Daphnia pulex: one gene and its partner. The protein of the gene in region 2 binds, or shares a complex with, the protein of the main gene of each other region. Links are inferred from orthologs where the notes say so. Each region holds a gene or a part of one and is shown on either strand. Other genes may lie near its edges.

Region 1 (3,596 bases), on a different chromosome or scaffold from region 2:
GAAAAAATGGAGTCTTTTTTTGTGCAAGGTTTGGATCTCATGAAATGAGTTTACAATTTTCTTGTGTTTTTAAATCTATTTTTCTTTTAGCAAAAAAGTCACTATCCGAGGAAGAAGAAAATTTGACAGAATGCAAACAAAGGTAATTATAATAGGAAGAAGTTTGACTATTAAATTGTCATTACTGGTCATTTATTTTCTCTTGTAGATTTGAAGCCGTTTTGAAATATTTCAAATTCACACCTAAAAAAAATTCAGAGCTCGACCCAAAGGATTTCTTTGGTTTGTGGTCTACGTTTGCGTCAGATTTTAAAGATATTTGGAATCGTGAACAGCAACGTATTATCAAAGAAAAGTAAGCCTTTTTTATATTTTATTAATTTTTTTATTTATTTTATTAACACAACAATTCATTCTTCTTTCGCGGATTCAGTTTGGATAAAGCTAAGCAAGCTGTGAAACAGAAAAAATTACAGAGTAGTTCAAGTTATGGCTATGCTAAATCGAAAACTGACGAGGGAACTTTGGTAAGTCGTCCAGTTTATTTGCTCTACTTTTAAGATATGGTCTAACAATGTTTTTGCAATTTTACAGAAAGCAAGATTGCTTAGTCGAAAAAAGAAATAATGTTTGGAATTTCACTTTTGCCTTTTCATATTTATATATAACTTCTTTTTCCACCACGACACACGTACTTTTGTCCAATACCACTATGATAAAGTTGAATTTCTCGTAATCTCGTAACACTTAGATGTCGATCAAAGGCTTGGTTTGTCCATGTTATTTATCCTCTCAAACCTTATTATACTGATATAAAGTCGATTTGCGGCTTGTCGAATTGTTAAGCATTCAAAATGAAAAATAACTTGTTAATTATGCAATAAGTCATGCAGTTAAATTCTTTCCAAATATGAGGTATCTGAGTAGTATAAATAATGCTTCAAGTACAAAAGTAAAGAATGTTAGGATGGTACTGATAAATAATAATTAAGACAACAGTAGAAATATTTCAAATACACTTCATTAAGCTCATTCTAGAAATCAAATTTTGTATGTATTGAATCAAATTTCACAAACAATCTTCTAAGAGTATTCTCCATCTTCTGAATTTGATGGAACATCTCCCTGTTGTTGCTGCAAGGACATTTGAGCCTCTGCTTGAAGTTGTAGCCACTGTTGCTGCTCAGCAGCAGCTTGTTCTTCTCTGGCTTTGGCAAATAATTCCTGCTGTCTATATTTTAAAAAATATGTATTAGACTAATTAAATCATAAAAAAGTGATAAAACTTACTGTCTCAATAGCTCTTCTTCTGGAATTCCCAAGTTTTCCAACCTTGTACTTTGGCGCCTCCTTTTGGCAGCAACAGCTTTACAATCTTTCAACACTGCTTCAGCATCAGTACGGTAGTCATTGAATCCAAGCCTATCTAATGCTACAACCATGTGTGTTAGATTATTTTTCCTTTCCATTACTTTACAACATTTGTAACAATTACCTCCAAGTATATGCTCTGCATTAATAGTCTTTTTCTGTTGCTGAGTACAAATTTCATTAGCCTCTGAAGCCAAAAGGTGTATGAACTCAGAACAACAGTTAAGAATCAATTCTCTAGCTTCATTGGCAACTCGGACACTGGGAACAATCTCTTTAATCATTTTGTTCATAGCAGCTCTCGGAATGGTCAATTCTTCTTCTGGCACAGCTTCTGCCATCTTTAAAGCCTGTATATCAGAAAAAAAACCTACTGTCCACAAACAGAAAACTTTATGAAGAGCAAAGGCTTTGTCAGCCAATACTAGAAGGAAACCGTAATATTGAAAAACAAATTTATGACTCATTATATACCAGAAAATTATATACGTAGAATTAAAAGAACAGCACACACGGTAAGAGTATGATCCTAAATTCTTTCAAAGTTTTCACTAATAATTAACTTTTCTCTCGTGCAGAAGAATGCATAAACAAAGCAATACAACAAACTACACCAAACACACTAGATAAGAAACTAAAATGAATCGCTAAAATAACCTTTTTTTATGCGCCTCTACCAATCGTATACAGGTACTAGGTTGGGAATGTCCAGAACCTTATCCATCTGGTGGCTGCGACTAGTACTTCGTATCCGACTGATAGAATATATCAGCTTGCACCATTATCAGCTTGCACCATTAGTTAGGCAATCCAAATTCATTATCATTATAGGCATTACGAAACAAAAACTAAAAAAGACCATTGTTTTTTCCCCGCATAATTCAGAATCAGGTCATTTTTGGTTGTAAAATTGCTGTCATCCCCCTGTGATTTCCACGCAAACCTTGAAATGATTGTCATTTTTATACTACAATTTCTACTTCATCGTCGGTCCGCGAGGAATTAGAGGAAAAGTCATTGACAAAACCAAGAATACGCCTAGGTCGACCACGGCACCACGCAAGGAAAAGAAAAATTCCGGGTAAAATATCTAAACTTCATTCGTGTTGCTTATAGCAACTCGATCTATTGAAGGTTGTTGACAAGCAGTGTTATTGTGCGTGTTAGCTTTGTTTTTTAAATTCGAAATTCAGAGACCGAGTGTGATTCTATTTGCGCTGTTTGTAAGCAGAGCTATAGATGACAGCGTGTATGGCAGAGCTATACATCTATAACTCTGTTGTAAGCATAAAAGGCTAGATATTTTAATTTAAACCTGAAGTCCTTAATGAATAGGATATTTGTCGTTTGTAGTTTGAATATGTTTTTTGATTTTTTAAATGAAAACAAAATCACAAAAGCCCTTTGCTTGCTAACGGAGATCAACAACTGAGAAGTTAGAAAGAATTCGGGTAATTTTCTGAACTTCGTAAAAGGGCAACGTCGCTTCCCATTCCTCACGGAAGTTCGTCTGCACTGTGCAAGTCTGCAGACTGCATTGCAGATTGGTGAGTTGGTGACGATGACATCATCTGCATATTTTTTCAAAGTTTCAATCATGGAATTGTTCGATTGTAGTGACTAGTACGCAATAATGAGTCCGTTCACTCTAAAGTTTGTTTATATTTCTCGATTGTCTAACTTATGTTACCCACGGGTGTCCCGTTGCACCGTGGACCTTGGAATGTGGATTGTGGTCGGTGAGAAATTGACGGTGGTAAAGAAACTATTGCCTGGGGGACCGTAAGGAGTGATATTAATCGAGCAGCCCCATCAATTCCAATAGTTGCTTGAAAATTTGGGCAAGAACGAATTTGAAAAGCCCTTTGTGCTTTGTCTGCTGCAATACAACTTGAGGCAGGTGGCTACCATGTTACAGTTGGAAAACAAGCACATAATTAAATCACCTTGCTTTTGTCGTAAAACACACTAATGATTTATTACATTTTAGGTCAAAACAAATCCTGTCTGGATCTTGACGTAGAAATTGATAGACATACTTTTCATACTGTTGTCAAAGTTGAGAAAGAAGAAGACAGACATAATCTACTCTCTGCAACACTGGCATTATATTGGCCCACTTTCACGTTGATTTACCATATTGGTCTGGTGGAGTAACCATCAGTGGGAAAGCAGTGGTCCCAAAATATTAATCCCAGTCTCCTTTACTAGCCAACGTCATTTTC
Region 2 (4,977 bases):
CGTTAAATGCTTCTAATGCCGGAATGAATTCGTTTGCGTTCAACACGGCAAGAGGATCGAGTCCACGTAGTTCATTGGGCACCCAAAGAGGTAGCATTGCCTCGACGATGAGCGGGACATTGAGAAAACCGTCCGGCTCCACTCTCATAAGCCTAGCAGGAATGCTGGCCGAAAGGGATTCAGTCACAGCCGCTGCCGCCGCCGCGACGACCACTTCGACGCCCATGGGAAGTGGGACGTTAAATGGAAGTGCTCCATCCGTCCGTGAAAGACGTCCCAGTCGTGGTTCCGAGTCTCAGGAACGTGATGTTCGTTTACGTCGTACAGCACCAGAATCTAGTAGTAGCGCTACAGCTCGACAGAGAAATTCTTCCGGTAGAGGTGGCGAAGAAGAAAGACGTGGTGCAAGAGAAAGGAGTCGCAGACGAGATCGTTCTAGACGCGACCGTTTCGACAGACTTGAAACTGTCGACACTGACCGACCTCTGTACGAAACGGAGCCGTTTATGGACAACAGGATTTCTGTCGACCAACGAGTCAAGGTACTTTTTAAAGCTCTTCTAAATTGTATATTTGTAAATTAATTTACTTATTTTTTCTCTACTCAGATTGTCGATCCCAATCAAGTCTACGATACCATTAATCTGGGCCGACGAATTGATGTTCTCTGGCCAAGTCCAACAATTCGTAACCAAGGTGGAAAATCTTATTGGAAATCATGGCTTCCCGAAGTGGGTATGGAAGGACAGGTAAGAAAACTATACGCGATGGGTGAATAGTTTTCCTTTTACTGTACTTTGTGTTTGATTAGGTGGTACATCGTTGGGTGCCTAATCATCCAGATTCGCGACAAAGATCGCACGTGGATCGCGTCATCCTTCTCTTGAAAATAGACGATAAATACGTCCCAATCGCCGAATCGGCGGTCGAAATTGCATCATTGGTTAGTGTCAACATCGGGGATTCTATCGTCGTTAATGATACTAAGCTTAAAACCCAGGGAGTTGCTGATTGAAATTCCCAAACGCCGCAGTGTTTTTTTTTCGAGTCCATTAGGCTCATCGTTGTAATATGAAACGGTATTTTGGTTTGAATGTGAACCCCGAAATTTGTTCACGAACCTTGTTTTGTAAATAATGTTTGTGTTATGCGGAAATGCTATGTGTTATTTGACATTGACTAGGAAAAACCACTGTGATTTGAAAACATTGTCAATAACGTTTACCGAGTTTTTCAAATGTCGAATGAAATTTGAAATTGAGTAATTCGAAACAAATAAACTTTTGGATTGTTTGTAGTCTAGGAACTATATATTTAGATTTTTCCTTATTCAACTACCGCACCCGCCTCATAGTTACTGTTAATTATTAAAATCACGAAAATTCCCGTGTTAGTAGTGACACAAGGAGTGATGGTGAGAAAGTAAACACTTAACAGTCGCATAGAGGAGTGACTCCAGTAGCATAAGAATGCGCCTGTCATTTTATTTGGTGTCTGATAGAAAAACTTGTCGGATTTTTAAATAACAATAGCAGGGGTATGGAGAGAAAGATATCTCCATAAATCTCTCCATACCCCTGACAATAGTATGCCGGTATGCACATAGTTTGAAATTTGAATATTATGAAATTGTTGATTATGAAAGAATCGGTGAACGAATACGATCGCTCTGATACGATATAGATGTTATACCCTTGAAAAAGTAGTAGTCTAGAAAAAAATCGTGCGCAGTTTACGCCGATGCGCACCACAGCGGCAGATAGCAGAACTAAACTTTTTTTTACGCTTGACTACCTGTCTACTTCAAGTCCTTTGTTCGACAAGCAGTCGGTTCTCGTCTCGTTTCTTGAAGTAGACAGGTAGTCAAGCGTAATAAAAAGTTTAGTTCTGCTATCTGCCGCTGTGGTGCGCATCGGCGTAAACTGCGCACGATTTTTTGCTAGACCACTACTTTTTCAAGGGTATAACATCTATACACAATACACATAAAGTTGCATAGAATATTTGCATCGTTGTTGGCTTCTTGCAGATAAGGGGGCATAAAATTAATGTATATATTTTGCGCGCAAGAAAAACTCCGCGCATATTACAATTTTTGAATTTTTAAAAAATACGCTTTAGTCTCTTTATGTCATTGCCACTTCCCACTTGCCAGTGCCAGCAGACGACCAGTGACCAGACGCTTTTCTGATTGCCGAGCCTCTGTCACAGTTTTACAGACACATAGTCAACGCATAAGAAGAGCGTATTGCTAATCAAGATTACTACTCAAAGTTAAATTTACTTTTGCGGTGACAACTAATTAACATATATTTTTTTATTGATTGTTACATGTCAACAAATCTGGTTAAAATTATAGTCAGGGATGCTGTAGTCTTGACCTTGATCAATGGATGAAGTAGTTATTCGGATTCTGTTCTTTGCAAAGGCCAGAGAGTTAGTTGGAAAAGATTTTGACAATATTTCACTTTCCAGAACAACTTCAAGAATCACTGGGGCAAATCTTTTGTGCATCATTACAGAACAATTTCCAGCTCTAGAATCCATATCAAAGAACATTGTCCTAGCTGCTGATGAAGAATATGTTGAATTTGATCAGCTTATAGACATTAAAAATTGCAAGGAAATTGCAGTGATCCCACCATTAAGTGGTGGCTAGGTCGCTAGGATTCTTCATAAGCAGTGTGCTACAGCTTAATTCGCCAGAGCCCTTCAATTGTATTTTAAAATGGATATTATTAACTTAGTTGAAGAACAGCTTGATGTGAATTCAATCTACTCTAAAGTGGTTGAACATTCTACTGGAGCTGTGTCATTATTTGTGGGAACAACAAGGAATAATTTTGAAGGAAAGAAAGTAATGTCAATTTGAATAATCTAAAGTCAAATATTTCTAAATCAAATTTGCTTTATATTTAAGGTGATTAGTCTAGAGTATGAAGCTTTCAAGCCAATGGCATGTAAAGAAATCAAGAAAATTTGTGAGAATATTAGAGAAAAATGGAAGGTTAAACACATTGCATTCCACCATAGGTATAATTTTTTTTTTTACCATACTGTAGTTATAATGAGGAAACTTAAGAAACATTTTTTTGTTTGTTTGTTTGTTTTAATTACCTATTTTTCTTTCCAGATTGGGAGAAGTTCCGGTTGGTGAAGCAAGTGTTGTAATAGCTGTTTCATCCGAGCATCGAGCCGAATCTTTAGAGGCTGTTCAATTTGGGATTGACGCGCTTAAGAAGTCTGTACCAATTTGGAAGAAAGAACTTTATAGTGATGGTGCTCCTGAATGGAAAGCCAACAAAGAATGCCTGTGGACAAGTAAAAATTAAACAAATAATGCTTAGTTGTTCCTATTTGTTGTATGAATTTTGAATTCATAACAGTACTGATTCTTAACAAGTAACACAAATATTGAACCTTAATCGATTTTCCGATATCAGAACAATATTTGAAATGGTTTCCAGTACTTTTCATTAGTTAAAAATCGGAGCATGAACGTTAGTTTGGCTGTAGTTTCAATCTTACTAAAGTGATAATATCTACGTAGTGCTGTCAAGTCTGACATTTAAAATATAAGGTTTTTAAGGGTTTTTAATTCTCTTTTTATTTTTTAACTAAGCAATGTTAACATTCATTTTACTTATTATCCAAGTACTTTCCAGTTCCCAACGCTTTCCAATCTTTGCCCTTTCATTATATAATAACATATACTGTGTGATTCTAAAGATGAGTAGCTGCAATGCTGCATTCTACGCACTGCTTCAATCTATTAGACGTTTTCGTGTGGTTCGACAGCTTTGCTGCCTATAAGCTTTAAGCTAATTATCTGACGGAATAGGGACAACCACACATAGACGTCCTTTATTTAGTATTTAGTTGTGACTTCTGCATTTGTTCCCTTCACTGCCGCGTACGTCATTTGATTATTTGGCTTATAGAAGTATGGCTTAAAGAAAGCACAAGCGTTCAGAAGTTTTTATTAGTCAAAATTAAAAAAAATAAGTACGAAAATATTCTAATCTTGTTAGGTGGGGAAATTCGGGATTTGAAATTTTTTATTTCCATGAGAATGAGTTGTTGGAATATTTGCTTGATGTGATAGATGCTTAATAGTCAATAGCATGTTTTGAATTGATATAGATCAAGAAGAAGACGCTAGTCTATCTAAAAAGAGGAAAATAATGGTGGACTATGCAGCTGCCGATTGCGTTCAGATCAAGGCTTCAAATTTAGAGGTATTGTTGATCCGTTTTACTTTTATCAAGTCTTTTCTCAATAAATATTTTAAATGTTTTTAATTTTTCAGTTGGGAAAACGAATTACTGCGTTTATGGAACGGAAACGATCAGAGTCGGACGTATTCAACGTTCAGGAGTTCTGTCACAGACTACCATTAAACGAATTAGAGAATTCATGTGCTCGCACAGAGGCAGTGCTTGTAAGCAGAAAAGATAGTAAAAGTCATCTAAAGGGTAAAATTATTTTATTTTAAGGATTCAACGCTGATTACTGATTTCTTTACGTTTTAGTGTCGAGATGCGTAAATATGTGGGGACCACAAACACACTCTGAAGTTCCGGCTCCATCTTCAGTAAACACCAAATTGAATCCGACTCCTGCTATCCAAGAACGGCTACAAAATATGGAAAAACACTTGGGTTTTAATTCAAGAGAACAACCTATTCCACTGGATGTGTACGGACGCTTGAAAGCCCTTGAAGATAGAATCCTTCATTTGGAAAGCATTAGTCCTGAATATTTCGACGGACCGTTTAATCTTCAGAATAATAAAGAAGATGAAGATTTGATATCAAAAATTGAACAAAAAATGGATGAATTACGTAGAAAATTAGTATAGTACCACTTTCTTTTTTCTGGTTGTAATCTGATCAATAAAATATAATGCATCCTTCAAATTGGTAATTGCCTTATTAGTTATTAGTTATTATTGCTTATTGTAGTCTGGGAGCCGAG

Evidence for each region.
Region 1: molybdopterin synthase catalytic subunit-like (region 2) and protein Dr1-like share a complex: the UniProt entries of both Drosophila melanogaster proteins name them as parts of the ada2a-containing (ATAC) complex. The link is inferred for Daphnia pulex from reciprocal best matches to the Drosophila melanogaster genes Mocs2B and NC2beta.

What each region holds. Positions count from the first base shown.
Region 1 is NC_060021.1:11,078,909-11,082,504, forward strand, and holds protein Dr1-like, read right to left. Parts: upstream 2,005-3,596; 5' UTR 1,846-2,004; intron 1,763-1,845; exon of another isoform or gene 1,722-1,762; 5' UTR 1,713-1,721; coding exon 1,496-1,712; exon of another isoform or gene 1,433-1,495; coding exon 1,291-1,432; exon of another isoform or gene 1,232-1,290; coding exon 1,084-1,231; 3' UTR 1,033-1,083; downstream 1-1,032. Other genes in the region: uncharacterized protein LOC124194693, read left to right, coding at 1-28, 91-142, 209-355, 434-527, 595-627. UniProt on the Drosophila melanogaster protein: Bifunctional basic transcription factor. Activates transcription of DPE (Downstream Promoter Element) containing promoters while repressing transcription of promoters which contain TATA elements.
Region 2 is NC_060026.1:10,881,387-10,886,363, reverse strand, and holds molybdopterin synthase catalytic subunit-like, read left to right. Parts: upstream 1-2,002; 5' UTR 2,003-2,728; coding exon 2,729-2,857; intron 2,858-2,920; coding exon 2,921-3,033; intron 3,034-3,133; coding exon 3,134-3,321; intron 3,322-4,143; coding exon 4,144-4,238; intron 4,239-4,309; coding exon 4,310-4,475; intron 4,476-4,532; coding exon 4,533-4,861; 3' UTR 4,862-4,926; downstream 4,927-4,977. Other genes in the region: pecanex-like protein 1, read left to right, coding at 1-542, 609-749, 812-1,015. UniProt on the Drosophila melanogaster protein: Catalytic subunit of the molybdopterin synthase complex, a complex that catalyzes the conversion of precursor Z into molybdopterin.